Linked DNA regions of Lonchura striata. The protein of the gene in region 2 purifies or fractionates together with the protein of the main gene of each other region. This does not show direct contact. Links are inferred from orthologs where the notes say so. Each region holds a gene or a part of one and is shown on either strand. Other genes may lie near its edges.

The links.
Region 1: the proteins of CBX1 (region 2) and SUV39H1 purify together in Homo sapiens (affinity purification with mass spectrometry; 3 studies listed by BioGRID and IntAct, with this or other methods). This does not show direct contact. The link is inferred for Lonchura striata from reciprocal best matches to the Homo sapiens genes CBX1 and SUV39H1.
Region 3: the proteins of CBX1 (region 2) and ADNP2 purify together in Homo sapiens (affinity purification with mass spectrometry; 5 studies listed by BioGRID and IntAct, with this or other methods). This does not show direct contact. The link is inferred for Lonchura striata from reciprocal best matches to the Homo sapiens genes CBX1 and ADNP2.
Region 4: the proteins of CBX1 (region 2) and CHAMP1 purify together in Homo sapiens (affinity purification with mass spectrometry; 6 studies listed by BioGRID and IntAct, with this or other methods). This does not show direct contact. The link is inferred for Lonchura striata from reciprocal best matches to the Homo sapiens genes CBX1 and CHAMP1.

Annotation. Positions count from the first base shown.
Region 1 is NC_134638.1:1,546,642-1,553,783, reverse strand, and holds the start of SUV39H1 (histone-lysine N-methyltransferase SUV39H1), read left to right. Parts: upstream 1-4,122; coding exon 4,123-4,332; intron 4,333-4,396; coding exon 4,397-4,514; intron 4,515-5,025; coding exon 5,026-5,171; intron 5,172-6,935; coding exon 6,936-7,142. Other genes in the region: actin nucleation-promoting factor WAS, read left to right, coding at 293-335, 1,428-1,597, 2,513-2,615, 3,672-3,774, 3,871-3,923. UniProt on the Homo sapiens protein: Histone methyltransferase that specifically trimethylates 'Lys-9' of histone H3 using monomethylated H3 'Lys-9' as substrate. Also weakly methylates histone H1 (in vitro).
Region 2 is NC_134627.1:8,317,183-8,324,170, forward strand, and holds the start of CBX1 (chromobox protein homolog 1), read left to right. Parts: upstream 1-3,988; 5' UTR 3,989-4,089; intron 4,090-6,988. UniProt on the Homo sapiens protein: Component of heterochromatin. Recognizes and binds histone H3 tails methylated at 'Lys-9', leading to epigenetic repression. Interaction with lamin B receptor (LBR) can contribute to the association of the heterochromatin with the inner nuclear membrane.
Region 3 is NC_134603.1:84,601,170-84,608,404, reverse strand, and holds the start of ADNP2 (activity-dependent neuroprotector homeobox protein 2), read left to right. Parts: upstream 1-4,217; 5' UTR 4,218-5,834; coding exon 5,835-6,065; intron 6,066-7,235. UniProt on the Homo sapiens protein: May be involved in transcriptional regulation. May play a role in neuronal function; perhaps involved in protection of brain tissues from oxidative stress. May be involved in erythroid differentiation.
Region 4 is NC_134604.1:90,839,317-90,846,192, reverse strand, and holds the start of CHAMP1 (chromosome alignment-maintaining phosphoprotein 1), read left to right. Parts: upstream 1-3,857; 5' UTR 3,858-3,944; intron 3,945-6,876. UniProt on the Homo sapiens protein: Required for proper alignment of chromosomes at metaphase and their accurate segregation during mitosis. Involved in the maintenance of spindle microtubules attachment to the kinetochore during sister chromatid biorientation.

The DNA.
Region 1 (7,142 bases), on a different chromosome or scaffold from region 2:
GGGGATGTGGGGGTCGGTTTGGGGGGTGTGGGGGTCGGTTTGGGGGATGTGGGGGTCGGTTTGGGGGATGTGGGGGTCGGTTTGGGGGGTGTGGGGGTCGGTTTGGGGGATGTGGGGGTCGGTTTGGGGGGTGTGGGGGTCGATTTGGGGGATGTGGGGGTCGGTTTGGGGGGTGTGGGGGTCGGTTTGGGGCCATCTCTTGGGAGGTTTTGGGGGGTCTCCAGGGGGATTTTGGGGTCTGGGGGGTTCCGGGGGGTCGCGGGGGTCTCACCGCTCTCCCCTCCCCCTCCAGGCACGTCGGTCACATCGGGTGGGACCCCACTGGTGGCTTCGATGTGGGTGACACCTCCCCCAAGTGGGTGACAGTGACCCCGGGGTGACCCCACGGGGGGTGACAGATGTCCCTGCCCAGGTGGCATCCCTGGGCCTGGCCCGGGGTCCCCATGGGGTGACCCTGGGGTGACAGCGACCCTGTGAGGGGTGACAGTGACCCGAGGGGTGACAGCGATCCCGTGCAGGGTGACAGTGACCCTGAGGGGTGACAGCGATCCCGTGTGGGGTGACAGTGACCTGAGGGGTGACAGTAACCCAAGGGGTGACAGTGACCCTGGGGGTGACAGTGACCCGAGGGGTGACAGTGACCCTGTGTGGGGTGACACTGACCCTGTGGGGTGACACTGACCCTGGTGACAGTGACCCTGAGGGGTGACAGGGACCCGAGGGGTGACAGCGATCCCGTGCAGGGTGACAGTGACCCGAGGGGTGACACTGACCCTGGTGACAGTGACCCGAGGGGTGACACTGACCCTGTGTGGGGTGACACTCACCCTGTGTGGGGTGACACTGACCCTGTGGGGTGACAGTGACCCTGAGGGGTGACAACGATCCCGTGCAGGGTGACAGTGACCCGAGGGATGACACTGACCCTGTGGGGTGTGACACTGACCCCGCGGGGTGACACTGACCCCGCGGGGTGTGACACTGACCCCGCGGGGTGACACTGACCCTGTGTAGGGTGACAGTGACCCAAGGGGTGTGACACTGACCCCGTGGGGTGTGACAGTGACCCCGCGGGGTGTGACACTGACCCCGCGGGGTGTGACACTGACCCCGCGGGGTGTGACTCTGACCCCGCGGGGTGTCCCTGTCCCCTCACCGTGTCCCTGTCCCCAGCTGGCCGCCCTGGACCCCGCCCTGCGGTCCCTCTTGTTCCATGGGGTGACACTGACCCTGTGGGGTGACACTGACCCCGTGGGGTGACACTGACCCCGTGGGGTGACACTGACCCCGTGGGGTGACACTGACCCTGTGTGGGCTGTCAGTGACCCTGAGGGGTGAGAGTGACCCGAGGGGTGACACTGACCCTGTGTAGGGTGACACTGACCCCGCGGGGTGTCCCTGTCCCCTCACCGTGTCCCTGTCCCCAGCTGGCCGCCATGGACCCCGCCCTGCGGTCCCTCTTCGCCCAGGCCGGGGTCAGCGAGCGCCACTTGGCCGACGCCGAGACCTCGCGCCTGATCCACGACTTCATCGAGCGCCGGGGCGGGCTGCAGGCCGTGCGCGAGGAGATGCGGCGCCAGGGTGGGCACGGGGCGCCTGGGGCACCTGGGCACACCTGGGCACACCTGGGCACACCTGGGAGGGACCTGGGCACACCTGGGAGGGACCTGGGGACAGCTGGGAGCACCTGGGCACAGCTGGGCACACCTGGGAGGGACCTGGGCACACCTGGGCACACCTGGGAGGGACCTGGGGACAGCTGGGAGCACCTGGGCACACCTGGGAGGGACCTGGGCACATCTGGGCACACCTGGGCACACCTGGGAGGGACCTGGGCACATCTGGGCACACCTGGGCACACCTGGGAGGGACCTGGGGACAGCTGGGAGAAACCTAGAGACACCTGGGGGGCACCTGGGCACACCTGGGAGGGACCTGGGGGCTCCTGGGGACAGCTGGGAGCACCTGGGCACACCTGGGAGCACCTGGGAGGGACCTGGGCACACCTGGGGGTTCCTGGGCACACCTGGGGGCACCTGGGAGGGACCTGGGCACACCTGGGGGTTCCTGGGCACACCTGGGGGCACCTGGGAGGGACCTGGGAAACCTAGAGACACCTGGGCACACCTGGGGGTACCTGGGACACACCTGGGGGTGGGACTAGGCACACCTGGGCACACCTGGGAGGGACCTGGGCACACCTGGGTACAACTGGGGGGCACCTGGGGATACCTGGGGGTACCTGGGACACACCTGGGGGTACCTGGGCACACCTGGGGGTACCTGGGCACACCTGGGCACACCTGGGGGTACCTGGGCACACCTGGGCACAACTGGGGGGCACCTGGGGATACCTGGGCACACCTGGGGATACCTGGGCACACCTGGGCACACCTGGGGGTACCTGGGACACACCTGGGGGTGGGGCCGGGCACACCTGGGAGGGACCTGGGCACACCTGGGCACACCTGGGGGCACCCGGCGGGTCTCTGTGCCCCCCCGTGCCCCCTCTGACCCCTCCCCCTCCTCTCTCTCCTCCCCCAGGACCGCCCCCTCCCCCCCCGGGCCGCGGGAGCCCCGCCCCTCCCCCCGCCCCTCCCCCCCCTCCTCCCGCTCCCGCTCGGCGGTCCCGGCCCCTCCCCCACCCCGCGCCGGCCCCGCCCCTCCCCCCGCCCCTCCCCCTCCGCGAGGCCCCGCCCCTCCCCCGCGAGGCCCCGCCCCCCCGGGCGCCGCCGCCCCGCCCCCTCCCCCCCTCCGCCGCCCCCTCCCCCCTCCGGGGTCCCCCCCGCGACCCCCCCCGGCCGGGGGGCGCTGCTGGACCAGATCCGCCAGGGGGTGACGCTCAACAAGGTCGGGGACCCCAAAAACGGGGAGGGGGAGACCGAAAATGGGGAGGGGGCACCAAAAATGGGGAGGGGGCACCAAAACTGGGGAGGGGGACACCGAAAATGGGGAGGGGGCACCAAAAATGGGGAGGGGGACACCGAAAATGGGGAGGGGGAGACTGAAAATGGGGGGGGGAGACCGAAAATGGGGAGGGGGCACCAAAAACGGGGAGGGGGAGACCGAAAATGGGGAGGGGGCACCAAAAATGGGGAGGGGGCACCAAAAAATGGGGAGGGGGAGACCGAAATTGGGGAGGGGGCACCAAAAATGGGGAGGGGGACACCGAAAATGGGGAGGGGGCACCAAAAATGGGGAGGGGGCACCAAAAAATGGGGAGGGGGAGACCGAAAATGGGGAGGGGGCACCAAAAATGGGGAGGGGGCACCAAAAATGGGGAGGGGGAGACCGAAAATGGGGAGGGGGAGCTCAAAAATGGGGATGGAGACCCCAAAAATGGAAGGGGGACACCAAAAAATAGGGAGGGGGACACCAAAAATTGGGATGGGGACCCCAAAAACGGGTGGGGTGGAGCCAAAAATGGGAGTGGGACCCCAAGAATGGGAGGAGACCCCAAAAATTGGGGGGGGGTGTCCAAGGGGGGGGTCCTGTGACCTTTGGGGGTCTCCATGGGATGGGGGAGGGGCTGTTCCATGCCCCTTTTTTTTGGGTGGGTGGTCTCGTGATTTCTTGGGGGGCTCCCCTGACCTTTTGACGTGGCCGTGGGGGAGGGGCTGGTGGGGGAGGACCCTGCCTGACCCCTCCCCATTTCCCACCCCCCCCCCCAGACCCCTGAGACCCCCGAGGTGGGCGCGGGTCCCGGCGCGGGGGGGCTCGTGGGGGCCCTGATGGACGTGATGCAGAAGCGAAGCCGCGTCATCCATTCCTCGGGTGAGACCCCTCCCCAAATTAAAACAAAACAACCCCAAAACCCCCAAAATCCCCCCAAAAAAACCCCCCGACCCCTCTCCATTGTCGCCCCCCCAGATGAAGGCACAGCCAGCGAGGAGGAGGAGGATGATGATGAATGGGACGAGTGAGACCCCCCCTGCCCCTCCCCCTCCCTCGAGACGCCCCCAGACCCAAATTGGGGCCCCCCCCACCCCTCCCCCACCCCGCCTGCGCCCCTCCCCCAGCTCGGGGGGGGAGGGGCCCCGGCTTTTCCTGCCCCCCCTCCCCTTTTTTCCCCCCCTCGTGCCCCCCCCCCCCCCCCCAAATAAACGCAGGAGTCACGTGACCATGCGCCTCGTTAATGAATCGCTCATTAATTACCGTTTAATGAGCCCCGGCAGCGAGGAGAGGGAGCGGGAATCCAGCGGCTCGGGGAGGGGCCCCGAGGGGATCCCGGCGCTTCCAGCGGCTCCGAGCCGGGAAAACCGCGCGGAAAATGGGGGAAAAACGGCGGAATTCGGGATCGGCGCCGTGCGCGGGCGCTGCTGGGAGCGATATGTAAATGAGGCAGCGCCGCGGCCAATGGAAACCGGTCCCTTCGCACCAGTATGTAAACGAACAGTCGCGGGTGCTGCTGGGAGCGCTATGCAAATCAATCGACGCGGCGGCCAATGGCGGGATCAGATATTATGCAAATAAAGCGGCGCGGTGGCCAATAGAGAAGGGGCGCGACGGTGTCGGTATGGAAATTAATCACCGCATCAGCCAATGGAAGGCGCGCGGGCTGCTGTCACTATGCAAATCAGCAGCCGGGCCAGCCAATGGGCGCTGGGCGCGGGCAGAGGAAGCCCCGCCCCCCGCGCTGCCCGCCGGGCGGAAGCGGCGCCAGAAAGAAAAAAAAAAAAAAAAAAAAAAGGCGGAAAACGACAAAAAAAAAAGCGGCGGCGGCTGAAAATGGCGGAAAATTTAAAAGGTGGCGAGAGCGGGGCGGGCCCGGGGGGTCTCCGGGGCTGCGGGAGGGGGAGAACCGGGCCGGGGGCGCTCTGAGGGGCCGGCGGCGCTGCCCGCGCGCGGCCGTTGGCGCCTGAGGGAAGCGGGGGGAAGTGGCGGGAACGGGCGGGAGAGGCTCGGCTCGGCTCGGCTCGGCTCGGCTCGGCTCGGCTCGGCTCGGCTCGGCTCGGCTGGCTCGGCTCGGCTCGGCTCGATGGTGCCGCCCGTCCCCTGACGCTGTCGCCCCGGTGCCGCCCGCAGAGTGCTCCGTGTGCTGCCTGTCGCCCTGGCCGCGGCTGCAGGAGCTGTGCCGGCTGCAGCGCGTGCGGTGCCGCGCCCTGGGGGTCACCCGCCGCAACCTCGCCGAGTTCGAGGTGGAGACGATCTGCGACTACCGGCGAGTGCGGGTGAGGGGCGCGGGACCCCCGGACGGGACCCCCGAGCTGGGAACCGACACGGGACCCCCGAGCTGGGAACCGACCCGGGACCCCCGAACCGGGACCCCGAACGGGGAACCGACCCGGGACCCCCGAACCGGGACCCCGAACGGGGAACCGACCCGGGAGCCCCGGACGGGACCCCCGAGCTGGGAACCGACCCGGGACCCCCGGACGGGACCCCCGAACCGGGACCCCGAGCTGGGAACCGACCCGGGATCCCTGGACGGGACCCCCGAGCTGGGAACCGACCCGGGACCCCCGGACGGGACCCCCGAACCGGGACCCCGAGCGGGGAACCGACCCGGGACCCCGAGCGGGGAACCAACCCGGGACCCCCGGACGGGACCCCCGAACCGGGACCTCCGGACGGGGAACCGACCCGGGAGCCCCGAACCGGGACCCCCAAATCGGGATCCCTACAGACACTGGGACCCCCAAACTGGGAGCTGACCCGGGACCCCCGAACCAGCACCCCCAAACTGGGAGCTGACCCGGGACCCCCGAACCAGCACCCCCAAACTGGGAGCTGACCCGGGACCCCCGAACCGGCACCCCAAACTGGGAGCTGACCCGGGACCCCCGAACCGGGACCCCCAAACTGGGAGCTGACCCGGGACCCCCAAATCAGCACCCCAAACTGGGAGCTGACCCGGGACCCCCGAACCGGGACCCCCACAGACACTGGGAACAGAGCGGGGACCCCTACACGGGACCCCCAAACCGGGATTCCACCCCACAAAGACCAGGAATCCAGCCAGGCCCCCAAACTGGGACCCCCAAACCCAGAATTGGCCCAGGACCCCCACACTGGGCACTGCCAGACCCCCTGGGGGCAAACGGGGACCCCCTGGTGACCCCAAAACCCCCCTGGCCTCGTGAGCCCCCACAGGGACGTCGGGGTCTCCTTTAAGGTCCCCAGGCTTCGACACCCCAAGAATCTCTGACCCAGTTCGGCCCCACAGGGTCTCTGGACATTGGGGTCACTCCAGGAACCCCCAGACCCAAAAAAGCTCCACAGGGTCCCTGGGGTCACTCCAGGAACCCCCAGACCCAAAAAAGCCCCACAGGGTCCCTGGGCATTGGGGTCACTCCAGGAACCCCCAGACCCAAAAAAGCCCCACAGGGTCCCTGGGCATTGGGGTCACTCCAAGAACCCCCAGACCCAAAAAAGCTCCACAGGGTCCCTGGGGTCACTCCAGGAACCCCCAGCCCCAAAAAAGCCCCACAGGGTCCCTGGACATTGGGGTCACTCCAGGAACCCCCAGCCCCAAAAAAGCCCCACAGGGTCTCTGGGCATTGGGGTCACTCCAGGAACCCCCAGACCCAAAAAAGCCCCAAAGGGTCCCTGGGGTCACTCCAGGAACCCCCAGCCCAAAAGAGCCCCACAGGGTCCCTGGGCATTGGTGTCACTCCAAGAAGCCCCAGCCCCAAAAAAGCCCCACAGGGTCTCTGGACATTGGGGTCACTCCAGGACCCCCTGAACCCTCTTAGACCCCCAAAGGACCCCCACAGTGGGGTCACCCCAGGAACCCCCAGACCTCGTGAGACCCTCAGAGTCCTCCAGATTCCCGCGTCCCTCCCGACCTCATGAGACCCCCCAGCGTCTCCAGACCTTGCGGTCACTCCAGGAACCCCCCAGACCTTTTGAGTCCCCACACCTGGGGGTCCCCACTGCCCACCCCCTACCCCAAACCCCCCTTTAACCCCGCCTTTATCCCCCCACCCACGCAGAACGAGGATTTCTACCTGGTCAAGTGGCGTGGTTACCCCTCGTCGGCCAACACCTGGGAGCCGCGCCGCAACCTGCGCTGCCGCGGGCTGCTGCAGCAGCTGCACGCCGACCTGGCCCGGGCGCCGGGCGGGCCGGTGCGGCCGGGCCGCCGCGGTCTGCCGGCGCGCGCCATGTTGTACTTGGAGAAGAAGAAAGAGCAGCGGCGC
Region 2 (6,988 bases):
CCCAGATCCCGGGATTTGGGGCGGAATCCCGCAGCCCTTACACGGAGCCTGGGAAATCTGTGGGATTTTGGCCCCGGGCGATCCCAGATCCCGGATTTGGGGCGGAATCCCGCAGCCCTTACACGGAGCCGGCGTTGCGCTGGAGCTGCCGCCGCAGCCACACGAACTCGCGGTAGCGGCGCCGCACGCACGACGTCTTGGCGGTGAAGGCCTTGCTGTTGGTCTGGGAAAAACACCGGAATGGCAGCGGCCCCGGAGGGATCCCGGCGGGATCCGGGAGGGATCGCTGGGAATGACCATGGGAGGGATCATGGGGAAGGAACCCGGGCACGGATCACTGGGAGAAATCCCTGGGCATGACACTGGGAGAGATCCCTGGGTATGATTCCTGGGAATAACCCTGGGAGGGATAACTGGGATTGATCCAAGGAGGGATCAGGGGAGGGGTTACTGGGAGAAATCCCTGGGAATGACCCTGGAAAGGATCACTGGGAGAAATTCTGGAAGAGATCCCTAGGAATGACACTGGGAGGGATCTGGGGAGGGATCACTGGGAGAAATCCCTGGGAGAGATCCCTGGGAATTATTCCTGGGAATGATCCTGGGAGGGAAACCTGGGAGGGATCCCTGGGAATGACCCTGGGAGGGATTCCCTGGAGGGAATCACTGGGAATTGAGGGCTGAGGGATCCAGGGTTGGAATCATCCCTGGGATCAAGGGGTTGGATCTGCCTGGACAGAGGATCCAGGCTGGGAATTCTCCATGGGAATTATCTCTGGGATTGAGGGGCTGGATCTGGCCTGGACAGAGGATCCAGGCTGGAAATTCTCCATGGGAATTATCCCTGGGATCAGGGGGCTGGATCTGGCCTGGACAGAGAATCCAGCATGGGAATTCTCCATGGGAATTATCCCTGGGATCGAGGGGCTGGATCTCCATCCCTGCCGGATCCGGGAGCCAGCCCAGGACAGGATCCCGAGGATTCCCCTCCGTGGCTCGGGACATTCCCAGGGCTGATCCCGCTCCCAGCTCACGTGCAGGAAGATCTTGTAATCCACGTAGGAATTCCAGGAGCCCTCGTTCTGCACACGCGGATCCTGCACCCGCACCGTGGTCAGCTCCTGCGGAAACCGGGATGGGATCAGGGATCCACCAGCCCTGCTTCCCAGGAATGGGATCAGGGATCCACCAGCCCTGCTTCCCTGGAACGGGATCAGGGATCCACCAGCCCTGCTTCCCTGGAACGGGATCAGGGATCCACCAGCCCTGCTTCCCTGGAACGGGATCAGGGATCCACCAGCCCTGCTTCCCTGGAACGGGATCAGGGATCCACCAGCCCTGCTTCCCAGGAATGGGATCAGGGATCCACCAGCCCTGCTTCCCAGGAATGGGATCAGGGATCCACCAGCCCTGCTTCCCTGGAACGGGATCAGGGATCCACCAGCCCTGCTTCCCTGGAATGGGATCAGGGATCCACCCCATTCCCGCTGTCCTGGAATGGGATCAGGAGCTCAGGGATCCACCCCATTCCTGCCTCTCCAGCTTCCTGGGAATGGGTCTGAGGGGCTCCAGACATTCCCATTCCCACTTTTCCAGACATTCCCATTTCCCATTCCCCATTCCCGCATTTCCAGGCATTCCCATTTCCCATCCCTGCATTTCCAGCCATTTCCAGTCCCACTTTTCCAGCCATTCCCATTCATTGCCACTCCCATCTGGTCCTGGGCCCAGCCCCACAGACTCCCAGGAATTATCCACGGAGATGGAATTCCCAAGGATTCCACTCGCCCCAATTCCAGGATTTGGGAATAAACCAGGAATGCTCCTCACTTCCTCTCGGTTCTCCAACATCCTAGAGCCAGAGCCCAGCGGGAAACATCTGGGAATAAAGACAAAAAAGAGATTCAGAGAAATCCTTTCAGTGGGTTTTCCACGGATTCTGCATCCCCCACAATTCTGGGACACTGTAGTTTTTGGGAAGACTGGAAATCTCTGGAATTTGGGAAAAGCTTCACTTTAAGGTGCTCTAGGATTCCCAGTCTGGGGTTATTTCCCTCAAATTCGGGGTTTTCCAAGGCTCTGCTGCCTCTCACCTGCCTGGGATTGGGGATCAAGGAGAGAATTCCAGAGAAATTCCTCATTTCCAGGGAAATTGCTGCCAGGGAAAGCATTAATTGTTATCTCAGGCTCCTTTTATCCTGGTCCACCTCCGAAAACCTTTCCTAACACTCTGGAACAGCAGGAATCCTCACTCCCACCCACGGAAAACCCTCCAGAGCCAGAAAAACAGGAATGAATCCCAGTTATTCCCGATTTTCCCTGTGGAGGGTGAATTCCTGAGGCTGTTCATAAACACCATTCAATCCCTATTTTCCTTGGACACGGTAAAACATTGGAAGTGGTTATTATTTTTTTTTTTTTCCCAATAATTATTTTTCAGGATCTTTTTCCTCCCAGGGAAGGAAAGGATTCCTCATTCTCCCTCCCGGGGATGTCCCGCACCACGACGGGTCCCAAAACCTCGGGAAAAGCCGGAAAAACGGGAACGAATCCCAATTATTCCCTTCCCACGCCGGCTGGGAGAATTCCCGAGGCTGTTTCGCCTTTCCAGGGAAGGAGAAAATTCCCGGGAACCGCGGCCCCAGCCCAGGGCCGGGAGAGGCTCGGGAGAGTCCCAAAAATCCAGGGAAAACCGGGAATGAACCCCATTCCTTCCTTCCCCACGCCGCGGGGGGAATTCCCGGGGCTGTTTTTTGGGAATTCTCGGCACAGGGATCGGAGCTGGGCCCGAGCCCCGCGCCGGGAGAGGCCGCGGAGCGGGGCTGAGGCCCGGCCCGGCCCCGCAAATCCTCCCGGGGGTTTGGGGACGCCGGGAGACCCCGAGGGGAGCCGGGATCCGCCGGGACCCGCCGGGATGCACCGAGGGGACCGGGGATCCCCGAGATCTCCGGACCTGCGCCCTCCCCTCAGGCGCCCCTCACCTCGCACCGCCCGCGGACCGTTTGAGCGGCGCCGCCGGCGGCGCGCGCTTTTATAGCGCGGAGGTGGCGGAAGTTCCGGTGCGGGGCATGCTGGGAGGTGTAGTCCGAACGCCGGTGTTGTCCCAGGTGCCGCCCCCCGCCCCGGCCCTTGGATGAGGAGGGGACATGGAGGGGCTGGGAATGTTTATCCTGGAGAAAAGAGGGAGCAGGAGGGACCTTCTGGCTCTTCACGACTCCCTGATAGGCGGGGCAGCCGTGGGGGTCAGGCTCTGCTTCCTGAGGAAAGGGTGCGGCCTGAGGTTGGGCATCAGCAGGAATTTTTCCCCGGAAATGGGAACACAACGCTGGCACAGCTGCCCGGGGCGGTGCTGGAGTCCCCATCCCCAAAAACACGAGGAGGTGGCACTTAAGAGACACGGGTCAGGGGTGTCATGGCAGTGCTGGGGGAAGGGTTGGATTTGGCGATCTTAGATCCTAGGGTTGGACTTGGAGATCTTAGAGGGCTTTTCCAGCCTGAGCGATTCCAAGATTCCCTAAATAAGATTATTTATGGAACCCATAAACGGGACCCTTCCCTGGGCGCTGGCACAGGCTGGGCACAGCCGACTGGACGTGGCGCTCGGGGCCCTGATCTGTGGGACAAGGCGCTTTTGGGTCACGGCTGGAGCTTGAAGGCTTTCCCACCGTTAATTACTCTGTTTAATTAACAACGCGCAGAACGGAGAGGCCTGACCATCCCGGACTACACCTCCCACCCCGCCTCGCGCGCACGCAGCGCCGCCGCGCTCCGCGGACTACACCTCCCATCACGCCCCGCGCCGCCCGGCGGAACGCACTGCGGCTCGGCGGCGGCGCGGACTACACCTCCCATCAGGCCCCGCGCCGCCCGGCGGAACGCACTGCGGCTCGGCGGCGGCGCGGACTACACGTCCCGGCGCGCCCCGCGCGGGCGCGGCGCAGGCGCGGTGCGCGCGGCGGGCAGCGGCGCTGGCCGGGCTCTTTTGTTCAGGGCGGCGGACGGAGCGCGGCCAGGCCCGGGCCCCCCCCCGACCCCCGAGCGCGCCCCCCGCGCCCCTTCCCTCGGACACCGGCGGCGGGGCTGTGCGAGGTCAGCGCGGAGCCGGCTCCGAGCGCCGGCGGGGGGCGGCGGGGGGGTGGGGGTGAGGGGGGGCAGGGGGGTGAGGGGGGGCGGGGCGGCCGTGGGGGGAGGGGAGGGGGTGTGGGGGGGCTGGGGGGCGGGGATGGGGTCAGTGAGGGGGTTTGGGGTGATGAGGGGGGGTTTGGGGCTGGGGTCAGTGTAGGGACGGATTGGGGGCTGATGAGGATGGGGATGGGGTCCGTGAGGGGATTTGGGCATGGTGTCAGTGTAGGGATCGATTTGGGGGTGCTGAGGGGAGGATTTGGGGCTGGGGTCAGTGTAGGGATCGATTTGTGGGTGCTGAGGGGAGGATTTGGGGCTGGGGTCAGTGTAGGGACGGATTTTGGGGTGATGAGGGGATTTGGGATAGGGTCAGTGTAGAGAGGGATTTGAGGAGGGGATTTGGGAGGATAGAGAGGGGATTTGGGGCTGGGGTCAGTGTAGGGATGGATTTGGGAGGATGGAGAGAGGATTTGGGGCTGGGGTCAATGTAGGGATGGATTTGGGATGTTGGAGACAGGATTTGGGGCTGGGGTCAGTGTAGGGATGGATTTCGCAGGATGGAGAGGGGATTTGGGGCTGGGGTCAGTGTAGGGATGGATTTTGGAGTGCTTAGAAGGGGATTTGGGATGGGGTCAGTGTAGGGATGGATTTGGGAGGATGGAGAGGGGATTTGGGGCTGGGGTCAGTGTAGGGATGGATTTTGGAGTGCTTAGAAGGGGATTTGGGATGGGGTCAGTGTAGGGATGGGTTTGGGAGGATGGAGAGGGGATTTGGGGCTGGGGTCAGTGTAGGGATGGATTTGGGAGGATGGAGAGGGGATTTGGGGCTGGGGTCAGTGTAGGGATGGATTTTGGGGTGCTTAGAAGGGGATTTGGGATGGGGTCAGTGTAGGGATGGATTTGGGAGGATGGAGAGGGGATTTGGGGCTGGGGTCAGTGTAGGGATGGATTTGGGGGTGCTTAGAAGGGGATTTGGGATGGGGTCAGTGTAGGGATGGGTTTGAGGGAGGGGATTTAGGGTAATGAGAGGATTTGGGATGGGGTCACTGTAGGAATGGATTTGGGGCTGGGGTCAGTGTAGAGAGGGATTCTGGAGTGATGGGGTCAGTAAAGGGATGGATTTTGGGGTGATGGGGTCAGTGTAGGGACGGATTTTGGGGTGATAAGGAGAGGATTTGGGATAGGTTCAGTGTAGAGGTGGATTTGAGGAGGGGATTTGGGATGATAAGGAGGGGATTTGGGGCTGGGGTCAGAGTAGGGATGGATTTGGGAGGATGGAGAGAGGATTTGGGGCTGGGGTCAGTGTAGGGATGGATTTTGGGGTGCAGGGCGGGGTCAGTGATGGGTTTTGGGATGGGGTCAGTGCAGGGGTGGATTTGGGGTGGTGGGAAAGGGGGATCAGTGGGATGGGATGTGTGAAATGTTGGGATGCCGGTGGGGCTGTGACCCCAAAAAGAGCTGCACGGGGGAAAGGGGAGTTTTGGGGTTCAGGAGTTTTGGGGTTCAAGAGTTTTGGGGTGAGGCAGATCCCATGGAGAGAGAGACGTTGGGAAAATGGGAAGTTGTGGGGTGAAAATGTTGTGGTTTTTTTTTTGGTTTTTTTTTTTTTTTTTTTTTTTTTTTGGTTGGTTGGGGGTTTTTTTGGGAAAAAAGGGTAATTTGTGAGGGGGGAAAACGGGATTTTGGGGGCAAGAAAAAGGGATTTTGTGAGGGGAAAAATGGGACTTGGGGGGAGGGAAGAAAGAGGGATTTTAGTGGGGGGAAAAGTGGGATTTGAGGGGACAGAGAAGAGGGGGATTTGTGAGGAGAAAAAAATGGGATTTTGAGGGCAAAAAATTGGGATTTGTGGAGGAAAAGGGGTTTGTGAGAGAAAAACTGGGATTTGTGAGGGAAAAAACCTGCAATTTATGAGGGGAAAACGGATTTGTGGAGGAAAAGGGAATTGTGAGGGAAGGAAGTGGTATTTGTGAGGGGAAAACCCAGGAATTGTGAGGGAAAAGTGGGATTTATGAGGAGAAAAAGTGGGATTTGTGAGCGGGAAAAAAAGGGAATTGTGAGGGGGAAAGTAGGATTTGTGAGGGTCAAAAGTGGGAATTGTGAGGGGAAAACCTGGGAATTGTGAGGGAAAAGTGGGATTTATGAGGAGGAAAAGTGGGATTTATGAGGGAAAATTAGATTTGTGAAAGGAAAAAGTGGGATTTGTGAGGGGAAAAGTTAGATTTGTAAGAGGAAAAAGTGGGATTTGTGAAGGGAAGAGTTGGATTTGTGAGAGGAAAAAGGGGAATTGTGAGGGGAAAAAGGGATTTTGGGGACGGGGCTTTCAAACCCCCTTGGGATGAGGGGAAGGAAAAGCGGGAATCGGGCAGGGCGCGGGATGGGGAGGGACAAGCGACAACTTTTGGCGGGAAGCAGGAAAAATCCCGGGAATCCGGGCTTGGGAGGGAAATTCGGGAATTTGGGGCGGGGCTGGGGTCAGGAATGGAGGAGGAGCTGTTTTGGGGGAACTTTGCTGGGATTTTGGGAGCTGGGCGAGACAAAGCTCTGGGAATTTTGGGTGCTGGAAAAACGTTTTGTGAGTCCCAGAGGGATTTGGGGGTCTGGAGAAAGAGCTGGGAAAGCTTTTCCCAGGAAAAACTGGCTTTGGAGCCGGGGTTATCCCGGGAATCTTCCCTGTGGTCCTGTGGGGAAGTTTTTGGGGGGAGAAAAGGGGATTTTGGAGGCGAGAAAAAGGGAATTCTCTGAGGAATGCGGATGGGGGGGATGCCAGGGATGTGTTCCCATAAAACTGAGGGATCCCGGGATAAAAATAGGGATTCTGGAGGGATAACTCTGGAATTTGCTGTGAAAAAAGCTGGAAAGAATAGGGA
Region 3 (7,235 bases), on a different chromosome or scaffold from region 2:
GGACAAGATGACCTTTTTAATAGGTATGTGATTTATAGCCATTAAAAGAGCAGAATTATTGTGACTCTTAAAAGATCTATGATCTGAAATGCCCTGAAGTTTCTTATATAGCTGGACAAAAAAGAGTTAATTTTTTTTCTTACCTGAGATTTCTATTAAGTTGCCCTTGGATAGAAATTTGAATATAAGAAGATAAACTGCTTTGTTGACCAGAACTGCTCTTTGTAAGTTTTATTAGAATATATTTTAAATTACAGCAGATTAAACAATGAAGAAGAATAGCATCCATTCTAATCAATCGAATTTTTCTTTAGGAAGCTTTCTTCCCTCTCCCTCCATAGGTTGGATAAGCTTTGATGGTGCTGATGTACTTGTAAATCCGGTTAGGTGGCTTTCAGAAGGCAGAGGTAAGAGTCCAGGAAATGTTATGCATGGTTGAGCAGATACCCAGATGTGACTTCTTAGAGGACATGTAAGCTTATCAGAAACAGAACAAAATTGATGAGGGTAAAATTTGGCATGGCCAAACTCTGATTCTTCTAGGCAGTTTCTTAGTGAGCCTGTCCTCCTAGCCGTTCTTTACCATCCAGTGTTCTTGTTCCTTGGATTCTTGAAAATAAATCACATGCTTTCATTCCACTTTTAGGAATGAAGCAGTTTTTATTGTTTTCTGAACTAATACTGAATTGTCAGCTTCTGATGAGTTTACTATAATGAAAATAATTTGTGGGCACCCTGGGAGGCATTCCCTGGGTTGGGGAGACACAGGAGGCTTCCCTCAGGGGCTTTTGGGACCTCATTAGCTCCTTCCCCTGTTACTATGTCCCTCAGCCACTCCCTCACTATTCCCCTATTTGCCAATCATCCTTGTACTGCCCGAGGGCACAGTTCAGCCCGGACCTCGGGGGACAGGGAGAAACCAGGATTCCCCTCATGAGTGTGCCTTGGACCCTGAACATCTCACCATGTGGCTGAATAAATCTGTGGATACCATGCAAAGGCCCTTTTTGCATCCTTACCCTGGATCTTATTAACAATATTCTGGCTGCAGCACATAACTTTTTATTGGTTCTTGTCAGTTCTGACAACTGCTGAAATACAAGTTGGTAAACAAGCCTTCCAAAATACTCCAACCCAAATGTTCCGAACATGTTTTTATAGAGGTTCTATAAAAGGTGCAAACCTTTTAAAAAGACCTAAGTCTTTATAAAAAGCTTTCTCAGTTACTATATAAAAGTTACAAAAACTTAAAAATTATTCCATTTCCAAGGCGGGTACTATGAAGTGACAAAGTTCCATAAGTCTTTCATAATTTCCCTGATCAAAGCAGTTATTTGAGCAACAGGCAAAGGCCATCCAATTAGGAACACATATGGAGATTTGCACCAGGGATTATCTGGTGTCTAAAATGCAGCTGTTTTCTCTGTAGATCTTCTAACATTCCTCTTTTTCTGAAAACTCGAGAAATGCCTGATTATCTAGTTGACTGGATTTTACTGGAAGTATTTGCATGCCCGTTTGAAGGCACGTATGTGCATCTTCCTTTTGCCAGCTCCATACCAACTTTGTTTTCATTTGCTTGCTGTTCTGGTTTGCAAGCAAAACCAGTGAGAGACTCCAAGTCAGAAATACAATTTATTGGGAAAAGGGAAAAAGACAAAAATACACACAATGTTACAAAAGGAAGACAACTGACAAAGCCAGAATACAACCTGACACCCCTCTGGCCAGCGTGCTGGTAGCAGTCCAAATTGGAGTGGCTGCAGTCCTCTTGGAATGGCAGATGTGGTTGCTGTGTCTTCTTGGAAACCTGTGGAAAGGCTGCCTCTCTGTCTAGAAATCCCTGGATTTATCCAGGTGGGAATGCCTAGCTCCTCCCCCTGGGTGGAGCATCTCACAATGGGCTGATGTTATTCTGAGTCATGAGGTGTGTGGCAACTCCTACTCGGATTATAATAGGAAACATCTTGGTCTTCAATTTGGACACTTGCAAATACCTACTTCCTGTAGGAACACAAACAAGAGTGGTGCAGATTTCATGTAAGGAATAAAGCTCTCAATATGAACACAGTCTGTCACTGGAGGAGGTTGCCCAGGGAGGTTGCCAAACCTGACTGGCCAAAACAGTGCCCTGGCTGCAATGGTTGAGCCTGCTTATAGGAAGCTGGACTGGGTGTCCTCTTGAGGTTCCTTCCAAGGTGAAATGAGAATGGTTCTGAGAAGTAGAATGAATAGGAACTTGGCATTTTGTGGTAACTTCTCACTTTGAAGAGGTGCAGTGTTAGTGTTTTTCCTTTTTTTTTTTTTTTTTTTTGTAATGTAGAGAAATGATAGTAAAAGGTAGTTAATTTGAAAACTGATGTCTTTGACTACCAAAATACTGTGCAGACCGTTACCTTGTCTTTTAGACTAGTCTTAAAATACTGCAGTACTGCTGGAAGGGAAGAGTTGCATTTGTGATCTTTGAAAAGTCAAATGTAATTAGTTGGGTGTTACAATTGGTGATAACAAATGTAGAAATGAAATGAACCTGGAATAAAGCTCCACTGGGTATATCATTATGGAGATGTTATCTGAACAAGCAACATGTGTAGAAATACCTTGACGGCTAAAATGCCTAAGCAAGAGTTGGATGGCTGTCTTAGAACTGAATTTGAGACATCAGCTGCTAAAATTATTTTATTTTGCTAAAAACTTGCCTTGGTTCTGTTTATGAAGTGGCACTAGTCTGAAAACTTAGTGGTTTATCAGGTTTTTGGAAACAACAATTAAAAGCAGTGAAGAATAAGTTTTTTACTTTTAGACAGGCAATGCAGTAAAATGATCGAGACTCTTGGTAACCCTTGTTCAATTAAACTCTAGTCCTTTGTTGAATTTGCTGATTAAGAATGGAATGTGGAACAAATTGTTGTGCATTGTTCCATGCAACAAATGCATGGAACCAAAGTGCAAACTAAAGCTTAAGGAATGTCCAAAATATAAGAAAAAAAAATATTAGTATGAAAATGTGGATAATAAACTGCATAACAGTCAAGGAATTAAACTGAGGACTTGAGGGAGTAAGTTTAGGAGGTTGATATTTGGTGACCTTTATGGTGGGGCAGTGCTGGTCTAATGGATAGAGAGACTCCAAGAGGGTAGATTTAGGTTGGATATTAGGAAGAAATTCTTAACTTTGAAGTTGGTGAGGCACTGGCAAAGGTTTTCTAGAGCAGTTGTGGATGCCCCATCCCTGGAAATATTCAAGGCCAGGTTGGATGGGACTTTGAGCAACCTGGTTTAGTGGGAGATGTCCCTGCCCATGGGAGTAAGTCTGAAATTAGATGATCTTTAAGATCCATTCTAACCCATACTGTTCTGTGATTGTGGTGCAAGATCCTTTAAGATCCTTACTCCCAAGAAGGTTGTTTAAATACCTACTGAATAACATTGCATGTGATTGCACATGATGGCCTTTGGATTGAAGACCAACTCTTTGAAAACTGGAAAATAATTTATATTCAAGTTTTTTTCTGCTATGGTGGAGGTTTTGGTGTGTTTTTCTTTCACCTGGATTAATAATTTAAGGATAATTAATAATTTTATTTAATTTTTTCTTTTGCATTAATAATTTCAGAATGATTACTGGTTAAGAGAACTTTGAGGTACATGAATGTTGCATACTACACCCCTATAGACAGTTTCTTATTTGTGAGCTAGACATGCCTCAACAAATGCCCACTTCACCTTCTTTAGTAGCATCGGTGTATGAGTTGGAAGACTGAGATGGGGAAGCTGTTTCCAGTGGAACCTAATGTATTTCCTTCCAGCTAATCACCACTGGGCATGGTGGTGTCCAGACAGCTCTGTTGTTAAACTGCGCTGGACTGTGGGGTTGATGTGAATAACTTGCTGTCATAGAGGGACTGATCTTAAAGCTTTAACTAGGGACTCTGCAAATTCCTGGTGGACTTCACTTTAAAAAGAATATTTTATGTCAGATTTTTGCTCATTGTATTTTGAGAGATTGTCAGACCATTTACTCTGATTTATTCCATTCTGTATAGGTTCCTGTTCTACATCTACCCTGATGGTATCAGAATGTCTTCTGGACTTCTTGATGATAAAAAACATTAGAAAACAAGACTAGCATCTGTCAAATGGGGTTCCCTCTCCATTTCTCTCTCCACACCTTTCCTTTCAAGGGAGAAGAAGCAAAGAATAGTATGTGAGTTGTATGAATTTTAATCATAAACCCATCAGTTGTATGTTTTGTACATATATTAAGGTTTGGGGTGATTACATACAGAACAGAATATTTTTTATATGGTTTGTGGGTTTTGAGGATTTTGGTTTTGAGGCTTAGCTTGTAGCTGGTGTCTTATGTGCAAGGGGATTTTGCAACTATTTGCATGAAAGTCATCATTCAAAGTAGAGCTTTCATGTTGGCAGGGAGTTTGCTTTTTTGGTAAAGTACAGTTTTTCAAGACATTTGAGACTGTATGTGCTAAAGAACTGTTTGGAGAATTCCTCTGTTTCAGTATTTGTTCTTTTTCCTGTACAAATGTGTCCTGGATGGGTGAATTGTTTAGCAGTAAGGACTAAGATGTTATAAATGTTCCTGGATACTCTGTCAGCTATTTAAGCATCAAATACTGGAGAAGCTTCCAGTGACCTTTTTCAGTGCAGGCTTAGGGTTAGGTTTTGTGTTCATTGTAGTTTCTTAAAGCTCAATCTAAATTGCATCTTGCTGTAATATAGGAAGGAGTTGACAAAGGCTGAGCTTTAACTTCTAAAGCTGAGCCTATGGAGATACCTTACAAGTTTACAAAAGTAGAAGCTTCTGCAGGAAATCTAGATTTTACTAGCAATCATATTTTAAGCATGTACATGCTTGACAGCAAAGAAAAATATCAGAGACTTCTCATCTTGATGCTAGGATTTAAGGTGAAAGGTGTGGAATTTCTTATATTATAGTAATTTTCTGAATAGAACTTAATAAAACTCTGGTGTTCATATTCTTTTGCAAAAACCCTACAAAACCAGTGTTCCTGCCACGTAGATACAAGGAGATTTGAAAGAAATATTTGGAATTTTCTGTAGATAGAGGAAATACAAAGAATTCCTGCCCGCCCCTCCTCCCCATTAGATTCTGTTTCCTTTAAAATCAGTCAGGGGTTCTACTTGGGAAATGCTAATGAGCCCACTTCTTTGGCTTAAGGATTTTGGGTTTTCATACTTAATAAATGGCATCCTGGCCCATGTCAGCAAGAGCATGTCCAGCAGGACTGGGGCAGTGATCAACCCTGTACTAGGCACAGTGAGGCCTTACTTCAAGTGCTGTGTCCAGTTCTGTGCCCCTCAGGAAAGACATTGAGGACCTGGAGTGAGTTCAGAGAAGGACAGTGAAGCTGGGGAGAGGTCTGGAGCACAAGTCCAATGAGAAGTGGCTGAGGCAGCTGGGGGTGTTTAGCTTGGAGAAAAGGAGGTTAAGGGGAGATCTTACCATTATACAACTGCCTGAAAGGGGGTGTAGCTAGGTTGGGGTGGGTCTGTTCCCCCAAATAGCAAGTTACAGTAAAAGAGCAAGTTGCACCAGGGAAGGTTTAAATTGGATATTAGGAAAAACTTCTTCTGAAAAAGGGTTGCCAAGCACTGGAATGGGCTGGCAAGGGAGGTAGTTCAGTCCCCATTCCTGGGGGTATTTAGAAGACACATAGGTGTAGTGATGAGAGGCATGGGTAATGATTGAGGTGGGTTAATGTTTGAACTCAGTGATCTTAGCGGTCTTTTCTAACGGAAATATTTCTGTTCTATGACTTTTCAGATTTTAGTTCTTATTTTAATACACTTAAATGCAATTGCCTGTGTTCAAGTATTTAGTCCCTTTTTTCATTCTCTTTCATTTTTCCTCTTTTTTTTCTTCTTCTTTATTTTTTGGTTGTGATGTTGTTTTTTTTCCCCAGGAAAAGTGCAAAATGTTTCAAATTCCTGTTCAAAACCTTGATAATGTAAGGAAGGCTCGAAAAAAGGTAAAGGACATTCTTGTGGATCTTGGGCTTGACAGCTGCAGGGAATTGTTGAAGGTAAAGTATTTGAAAGAATGTAAACTAATCTGAAATGTAAAATCCTGACAAATATCTGTCATAGATGGTGCCACATATTCTGTTAGTAATGTTTCCACAAAAAGAAACAGTACAGCTTTAGGGAAAAATACCGTAGACTGATGAATTGTTATTTGTGTGCTATGCCGCAACTCTTCAATTCTTTTGAGATTTCAGGCAGATAGGGATGAGTCTCCTCAAAGACATCCCGTCCCACATATGAAAGGCAAGCTTCTGAAGGGACATACAAATCATCTGCGTTTCTGAAAATTGATAAGTCTTCAAACTTTGTGTCTGGTGAAAAATACCAAAATTATCTTACTGAGTTGTAGTTTGGTTCTGTATTTTAAAAAGTATATGCAGGTGTACTGGGGTGATTAAGATAACTCTTGTACCACTGTTGCCACTTCGAGGAGAAAATTTTGTGCATTGGTCAGGAAGAATGCACACCATCAGACTGGCAAACGTAATACCAGAAAAGGTGCAAACACAGCAATGTAACTCCATTTCTTAAAAATAGTGTATTTCAGTGAGCTGGTGCAGAGGCTTTTGTGGCTGTTGAGTACATGCATACCTTCGCATTGACAGGAGGTTCATTGCATCTGTATGGCAGTACTAAAGTAGGTTTAACACTCTATAAGGGTGCTGTTTTGTATTTTGTGATGGTTTCTTTATGATACTCTGTAAGTAATTGGAAGAAAAATGTTCAAGACTACATGCATAACTGATTTTGGAACAGTCTTTGTTATTGCGGTTGTACAGTTTTGTATATATTTAAACATTGTAACAGCTCAAGGAAAATCATAATGTCTACTAATTTCCATTTACTTGCTGTTTTTATTTTGTTACTATTCTATAATCACAGTTCTAACTCAGAAGCTGAGTCTGTCTTGACTATTGGAAGCAGGAATGTTTTGATGGTGACAGGTTTTTACTATGAAATTGCTTGTGGTCTCTTTGTTGCATGGACTTCAATGGTAAATAAGTAATAAATTGGTTTGTATTTAATTGAGTTTTTGGCGGTATGTATAATACACATTTAGTTGGTTTTGCTTCATTTTTAAGTGAAAAATGGTGGTGGGAAACCCAGCAAGCATTTGTAGAAAAACCTCTATGACATTTGTGCCAAAAAATACCATATTTTGGTTTTTT
Region 4 (6,876 bases), on a different chromosome or scaffold from region 2:
AGTCAAGAAAATCAGGATATCAAAGGAGAAATGGAAACATTTTCAGGGCTGAAAAGGCTCAGTCTTGTTTCCTTAACATTTAAAAACATCCTGAAATACAAAGATTAAAGTTGCTTATATATTGGGAACTTTAAAGTTCCTAAATCAGGGATCAAATAACAAGGAGGAAAACATTTGTGAATATGTTACATAAGGTAAAAATATAACCAGGGGTATTTAGATGTATCTCCAATGAATTGTGATCTCCCTAGCTACACTGTTAGGTAACATTCATTGCTGTATTTGTTACAGTTACTAATGCATAATAAGCAAAAGGCCATTTCAGAAAGTAATTTAGAAGCCTACGGGAAGGAATTGAATGAAAAAATAGCTGTCTTGGATGATTAAACTCCATGCCTTCAAAAGCCTGCTGGCATTTTTACTGAGAGATTTCACCAGTGGATATGGTAAATTTTTGCATGTTGCTTATTAAAAAAAAAAAATCTAGAACTGCAAATGATATTCAAGTGTTTTTCACAATAATATAACCGAAAGGGGGGAGACTTATGAAACTTTAGCATGATTTCATAAATCAAATTTAATCCCTAGATGTAAAGGAAAAAAAGTTCTAAACAAGTTAAAAAAAGAAAGTATAACCATACAGTAAAAAAAAAAGTCTATTTAAAAAAAGTTATTCACTGCAGTTAGTTGAGATGTGTTCTTTACCTATGCTCTGTAATTGATAATCCAGAAAAAAAAAAATCTCTGTGGGATTTCATAACCTCCTTTGAGAGAACTTCTTCACTAGGTTGAAAGGAAATCCTCCAAGTACTCCAAATCACTTACAGGTAACAATAGCATGGAAGAAGTTTACTTAGTCTGTCTAAGAAGAAACCTAATAAATGGGGTACACCAGGTTTATCTGAAATTTAATTAAGTGTTTGATTCCATTCTCAATGGAAATAATTAACTACAGTAGCTGGAAATTAATTTTAAAACTGTAAGATGAATGAAAGCACTGGCAAATCAGAAAGAGATGACAAGTTCAGGATCAAGTGAAAATTACAGGTTATTAGTTGGCCTTGGGTTGACTTTACAGCTATTTCCATGAATGAACAAAGCAGGAGTCAGCATTTTGAGTAATAAAAAGCAGATAAAATGCAAGTACAAGGGGATAAGTAGCAATAATATTCTTAGCTGCAGATTTGGATAGAGTCGACCAGTTGGGTTTTGTTAGTCATGGAAAACCACAATCCCCAATGATAAATGTATAACCTGTAGTTAAAGAGATATGAGCCTGGGACGTGACTACACAGAACACCTGGAGGGTATCTAGCCTGCAGTGCTAGATTTCTCCATGGCATCTAGATGTGGAAAAAATAAATAAATTCCTCATCAATCAGTAATTGTAGTTAATCACTACACTTCCACTACATTTTCAGAGCATGGGCAGGATTGATTTTGTTGGAAACTTAGATATGACTGGTGAAAAATCCTGCTTCTATCCAAGCAGCCGGGGGATGTAACAGATCACTGCTGAATGCTGCCTGTCACAGAGCCGCCCTCTTGGTAAGGAAATGCTGCCGAACCTACAGCCCAAACCTACAGCCCGAACCTTGCCTGAAGGAGCTCTGAGCCATCCCTACCTATCCTCTCAGTGGGTACCAAGGAGAAAAGCTTAGCATCTTTCCCTCTGCTTCTCTCCTCTAGAAGATGTAGAGAGCAATGAGGATGTGTGAGAGACGGAACTATTAAGAGACAATGACTCAAAACATTCTTCATTTGTGGAGATGCCAGGGTGCTTGGTTGACAGGGAGTAGGTGAACTTTTAGTTGTGTAATGGCTAAACCTCTGATCTGATAAGGCACAGGGTGAATGATGGGCTGAGAGTGAGATAAGCGCTGGATCCAGTGGAGAGAATTGTGCCCCTTGTCGTGCCAAGCTGTGCTTCCTTGCACAAACCACTGGGCTGTGGGGCTTGCCCTCCTCCCCCTGGAAATGCCAGGGAACTCAAGTGTGACCAGAGCAGGTTCATCTCTGCTGATGGGACATAATGGGGCAAACTGATTCAACTGCACCATGATCTACAGTATTACATGAAGCTCCCTGGTCCTGAGAAGGCACCTGATTTATATTTACTTGAACCAGAGTGAATATAAACCCAAGAGATTATGTGTTCCGCAGATTCATCCCCACCACTTCTTCGGGACTTCGTCCATCACCTGACCACCACTTTGACCACAATCGCTGGACAGTAATCAAGTCTTACTGTGAGGCTTAGGGTGGTGAGATCCTCACCTTTCCTTTCCTTTCCTTTCCTTTCCTTTCCTTTCCTTTCCTTTCCTTTCCTTTCCTTTCCTTTCCTTTCCTTTCCTTTCCTTTCCTTTCCTTTCCTTTCCTTTCCTTTCCTTTCCTTTCCTTTCCTTTCCTTTCCTTTCCTTTCCTTTCCTTTCCTTTCCTTTCCTTTCCTTTCCTTTCCTTTCCTTTCCTTTCCTTTCCTTTCCTTTCCTTTCCTTTCCTTTCCTTTCCTTTCCTTTCCTTTCCTTTCCTTTCCTTTCCTTTCCTTTCCTTTCCTTTCCTTTCCTTTCCTTTCCTTTCCTTTCCTTTCCTTTCCTTTCCTTTCCTTTCCTTTCCTTTCCTTTCCTTTCCTTTCCTTTCCTTTCCTTTCCTTTCCTCTTTCCTTCTTTCCTTTCCTTTTTCTTCTTTCCTTTGTCCTTTCTTTCTTTCCCCTTGTATGTGTCCTTGGGTGATGTTGCACTTTCACATTGCAATGCTTTCATGTTGTATTACTATAGATAATAACCACCCAAACAGCTCCATACCTGTTTTCCTTTGCAGCCAAGTTGTTCTATAATAAAACCTACATTGTTTATTTACAACTACTGATCATTCAGTATTGTTTCACACTAACGTCCCCCAAGGGATCTAGTAACAAGAACCTGGGTTATCCTCAGCTTCTGTCTTAACAAAATGCCCCTCAGCCTCCAGAGAGTGTTTCCTTAAACACCTCCGGGGAGTAACTGTCCCTGGAGATGTTTAAGGAAAAAATGGACAGGTTGACATGCGGGTGCTCATTCACAGGTTGGAGTTGATTTCAGAGGTCCAACTTAATTGGTTCTGTGATTCTGTAACTCTTTCATTCTTTCATTACAGACAAAATGCACAGCTAAACCCAAAAGACAAAAAGCAATTCCTGAATTGAGGTGTCTAGAACTGGACACACAGTTCCTGAGGTGTGGCCTATTTGGCTGTGCAGAGCCCACACCTAGAGCCCTGCACACATTTGGGGAAGGATGCTAATGGCAGATCCGGGGAAGAGCGATGGAGGTGTCCTGCAGGGAGCGGCTGAGGGAGCTGGGGCTGCTCAGCCTGGGGAAGAGGAGGCTCAGGGAGACCTTGCCACCACTGCAACACCTGAAAGGAGCTGCCGCAGGCTGGGGTCAGGCTCTTCTCACAGGCCACCAGCGACAGGATGAGAGAACACAGCCTTAAACGGCATCAAGGGATTTTTGGGCTGGATTTTAGGAAGAATTTCTGTACTCAGAGGGTGGCTGGTTTTTGGAATGGGCTGCCCAGCAAGGTGGTGGAGTCACCGTCCCTGGAGGCGTTTAAGGAAAACTGGACACGGCCCCGAGGGCCATGGCCCCGTTGACACGGTGGTGCTTGATCAAGTGGAGGACCTCGGAGGTGTTTTGCAGCCTTTTTGTGGCTTTGTGACTCGGTGTTTCTGCGGCTCTGGAACTCTCCCCGCGCCGGACGAGCCCCGCGGGCTCCCGGACGCGGCCGGGCCCCGTGCGCAGCGCCCCCTGCCGGCGGGCGCGGAGCGCGGCCCCGCCCCCGGCCCCGCCGCCGCCGCCGCGGCACGTGACCCGGCCCCGCCTCCCGCCGCCGCCGCCGCCGCCATTGGCGGGGGGAGCCCGGCCCGGCCCCCCCGGCCCGCGCCCGCCGTCCCGGAGTGCCGAACGGTGAGTGCCGCCGCCGCGTCCCGCTCGGCCCCGCTCCCGCCGCCCGGGCCCGCCGCGCTCCCCTCCCTCCCCCTGGGCGTCGGGCCTGGGCCTTCCCCTTGTCCAGCCCCCGCCGCGCGGGGGGCGGCGGCGGCTGGCGGTGCCGGCGCGGGGGGAACAAAACCGGTGGGGCCGCGCACGGGAGCGAAGAGGGAGAGCGGAGGCGGCGAGGGAGAGCGCCCGCCGCGGCGGCATGAACGGGCGGGCGGCGTGGCCCCGGCCCCGGGGGTGCGGCCCCGGGAGGGCCGGGCAGCGGGGAGCCGGGAAAGCCGAGCCCTCAGGCACCCCCTTCCCGCAGGAAAGTTAGAGTGATGCCGGCGGAGCGAGGAGCAGGAGGAGCACGCCGCCGGTCCGCTGTGCCGGGATAGCGAGTTCGGCACGGGACGTGTCCCCGCCGGGACCGGGCCCTTCCCCGGTGACAGAAATAGCTGCCGGGAGCGGCTGCGTCGCACGTGGGAGCAGAGGAGCAGGTGCAGAGCCAAGGCTCACGGCACTTCTGGAGACAGGTCCTGTGAGGAGCGGCTCAGGGAGCTGGGCTTGTCCCGCCTGGAGAGCAGGAGGCTCAGGAGGGACCTTAGCGCTCTGCAACCGCGAGAAAGGAGCGTGTAGCCAGGTGAGGGTCGGCCTCTCCTCCCAGGCAACAAGTGACAGGACGAGAGGACATAATCTTAAATTGCACCAACGGAGGTTTAGACTGGACATTAGGAAGAATTTCTTCACTGCGAAAGTGATTAGACATTGGAATGGACTGTCCAGAGTGGTGTTGGAGTCACTGTCCCTGAAGCTTTTTAAGGAAAGACTGGATGTGGCACTGAGTGCCATGGTCTACTTGACAAGGTGGTGTTCAGTCATAGGTTGGAGCTTGATGATCTCAGAGGTCTTTTCCAACCTAAACGATTCTATGAATTTTTTGCAAGTGAGGAATATAGAAACTTTGGATTTCACATTTCTCTTCTGTAATCTTCCCTTGAACTCCATATTCTTTCAGGGTAGTGTTAATGGAATTCTTAGCATGTTACTAAGTTTCACGACCCTAATTCAGATCTTGACTAGATTGTTATGCTCTAGTGGGTCTAGTGGCACTTCATTAGCTCAGGTACAGCACTGCGACAGTAATGTTTTTGGGGGCATTTTTGGAAGCCAACTGGAAGTGGAATTGTGAATTTGGAATTAGAAAGCTGTAGAAGCAGTACATGGAATTAATTTCTTCTGTCTTGAATCTGTCGAAGGTATACTGATTTTACTCTGCAATTTTGACTGTTGATAGATCTTCTATCAAGAGCTAATGTTGTGTAGACTTGTCATTCTCTTCACAAAGATTGAAATATTGCAAAATTGTTGCAGTTCTAGGTGGTTTGTTTTTCTTAAGTCATCTGTATGTGTATCAAGTATTGTCACTTTGTAGATCTCTCCTGACTTGAACCTTTCCTGGAAACATGGAACTTCATAATGCAGCATTTCCTTCCTGGAACTTGTGGCTCTCACGTTCTTAGCATTCCTTGCTGTTTCAGTGGCTGGTTGGGTCAGAGTGTTTGTGCCTTGTGTAGATGTGTAATTTTAAAGACCTTGTTCAGCAATTGTTGCTGGTGGAGCTTAGCCTGAGTAGATTGGCTGATAGCTGGGAGTTCAGATGTGAGGTTGTAGTCAGATACTGTGGATGCTTCTGGACTAGCAAGAGCACAGGGCTGCCTGTCTTGTTCATGGTGCCTTGGAAGTGATGCCCGTACCTGCCTAGTGCACTGTGAAGTGCCTGCTCTGCCCCACGGTGGGGTGTTTGTGTGCAGCTTCCTCTGGGAGCTAAACTTCTCTTTGTCAGTCACAATACAGGGATGTAGCTTCAAGAGAAGTGTCATGCTGCCACCAAACTGCCATTTACTTTTTGGCACTGCAAGAACATGTAATTTTTCCTTTTGCTTAAACCCAGCAAAAGTCTGGATCTGTTCCTGCTATCAGAGGCAATGATGATGCTGTATCTCACTTACCTCAGCTTTCTTTTTCTGAGAACAAATTTGCTGTTGACCCTCCTCACTGACAGAGGTTGTGACTGAGCTGTTAGTCTGCAAGAAACTTCCAAGGCTGATGAAAGCCAACAGTGATCCTTCCTGCGCAGTGACTGGTATAGGGAATCTTATGTGTGGTTGTAGCACATTGCAGAAAATCACAGGGCTTTCTTCTGGGTCATTTTCCCAGCTGTGTTGGTGTCATTAAAGCATGTTGCATGTTCTCTCTCTGCTTCTGTTTCACCAGGCTTCATTGAGAGGAAAGGGTTATATATTCTTCTGAGAGGAAAGAGTTATATATTCTTCTGCCCCTGAGAACCAAGACACAATGATGTAGCAGACTACTTGTTGCTGTGCTCTGAATTTCTTCATGTAATGTAGAAAGCAGTCTAATTCTCTGTGCTCACTGAGAGTCTAGATCTTTAGCTTTGAGCCCTTTGTTGCTTCCCTTGGACAGTCACAGCTTATCTTCAGTAAAGGAAAAATGCAGTATATAAAAAACTAGTATATATTAACTGTTGCAATTCTAAGTGTAGAATGTGTTTATTAAAAATTACCAGGAGTGATTGGAAGATTTGTAGCTGTGAAATTGGAATGGAGTTAAAATGTATAGACATCCTTGTTTGCTGCCAGAGTCATGTTGTACCAACACTTGCATGGATTCCTTCTTATGTATAGGTATCTCCTCTGCATTTTTCTGCTTCTCTTCCACTGGGACGTTTTTGAGAGGCTGTAGGAAGTATGGCTTAATCTTAACTGGGATCCTTGTGGAAGATGGGTGCAGAATCCAGGGACCATCTCTGACATGGCTGGATGTGTTGGCTGGGAGGACATCAGGAGGTCTCTCCTCTCTGTGCATTAGCTTGGGACACTCCTATTGCTCAGTTCAACAT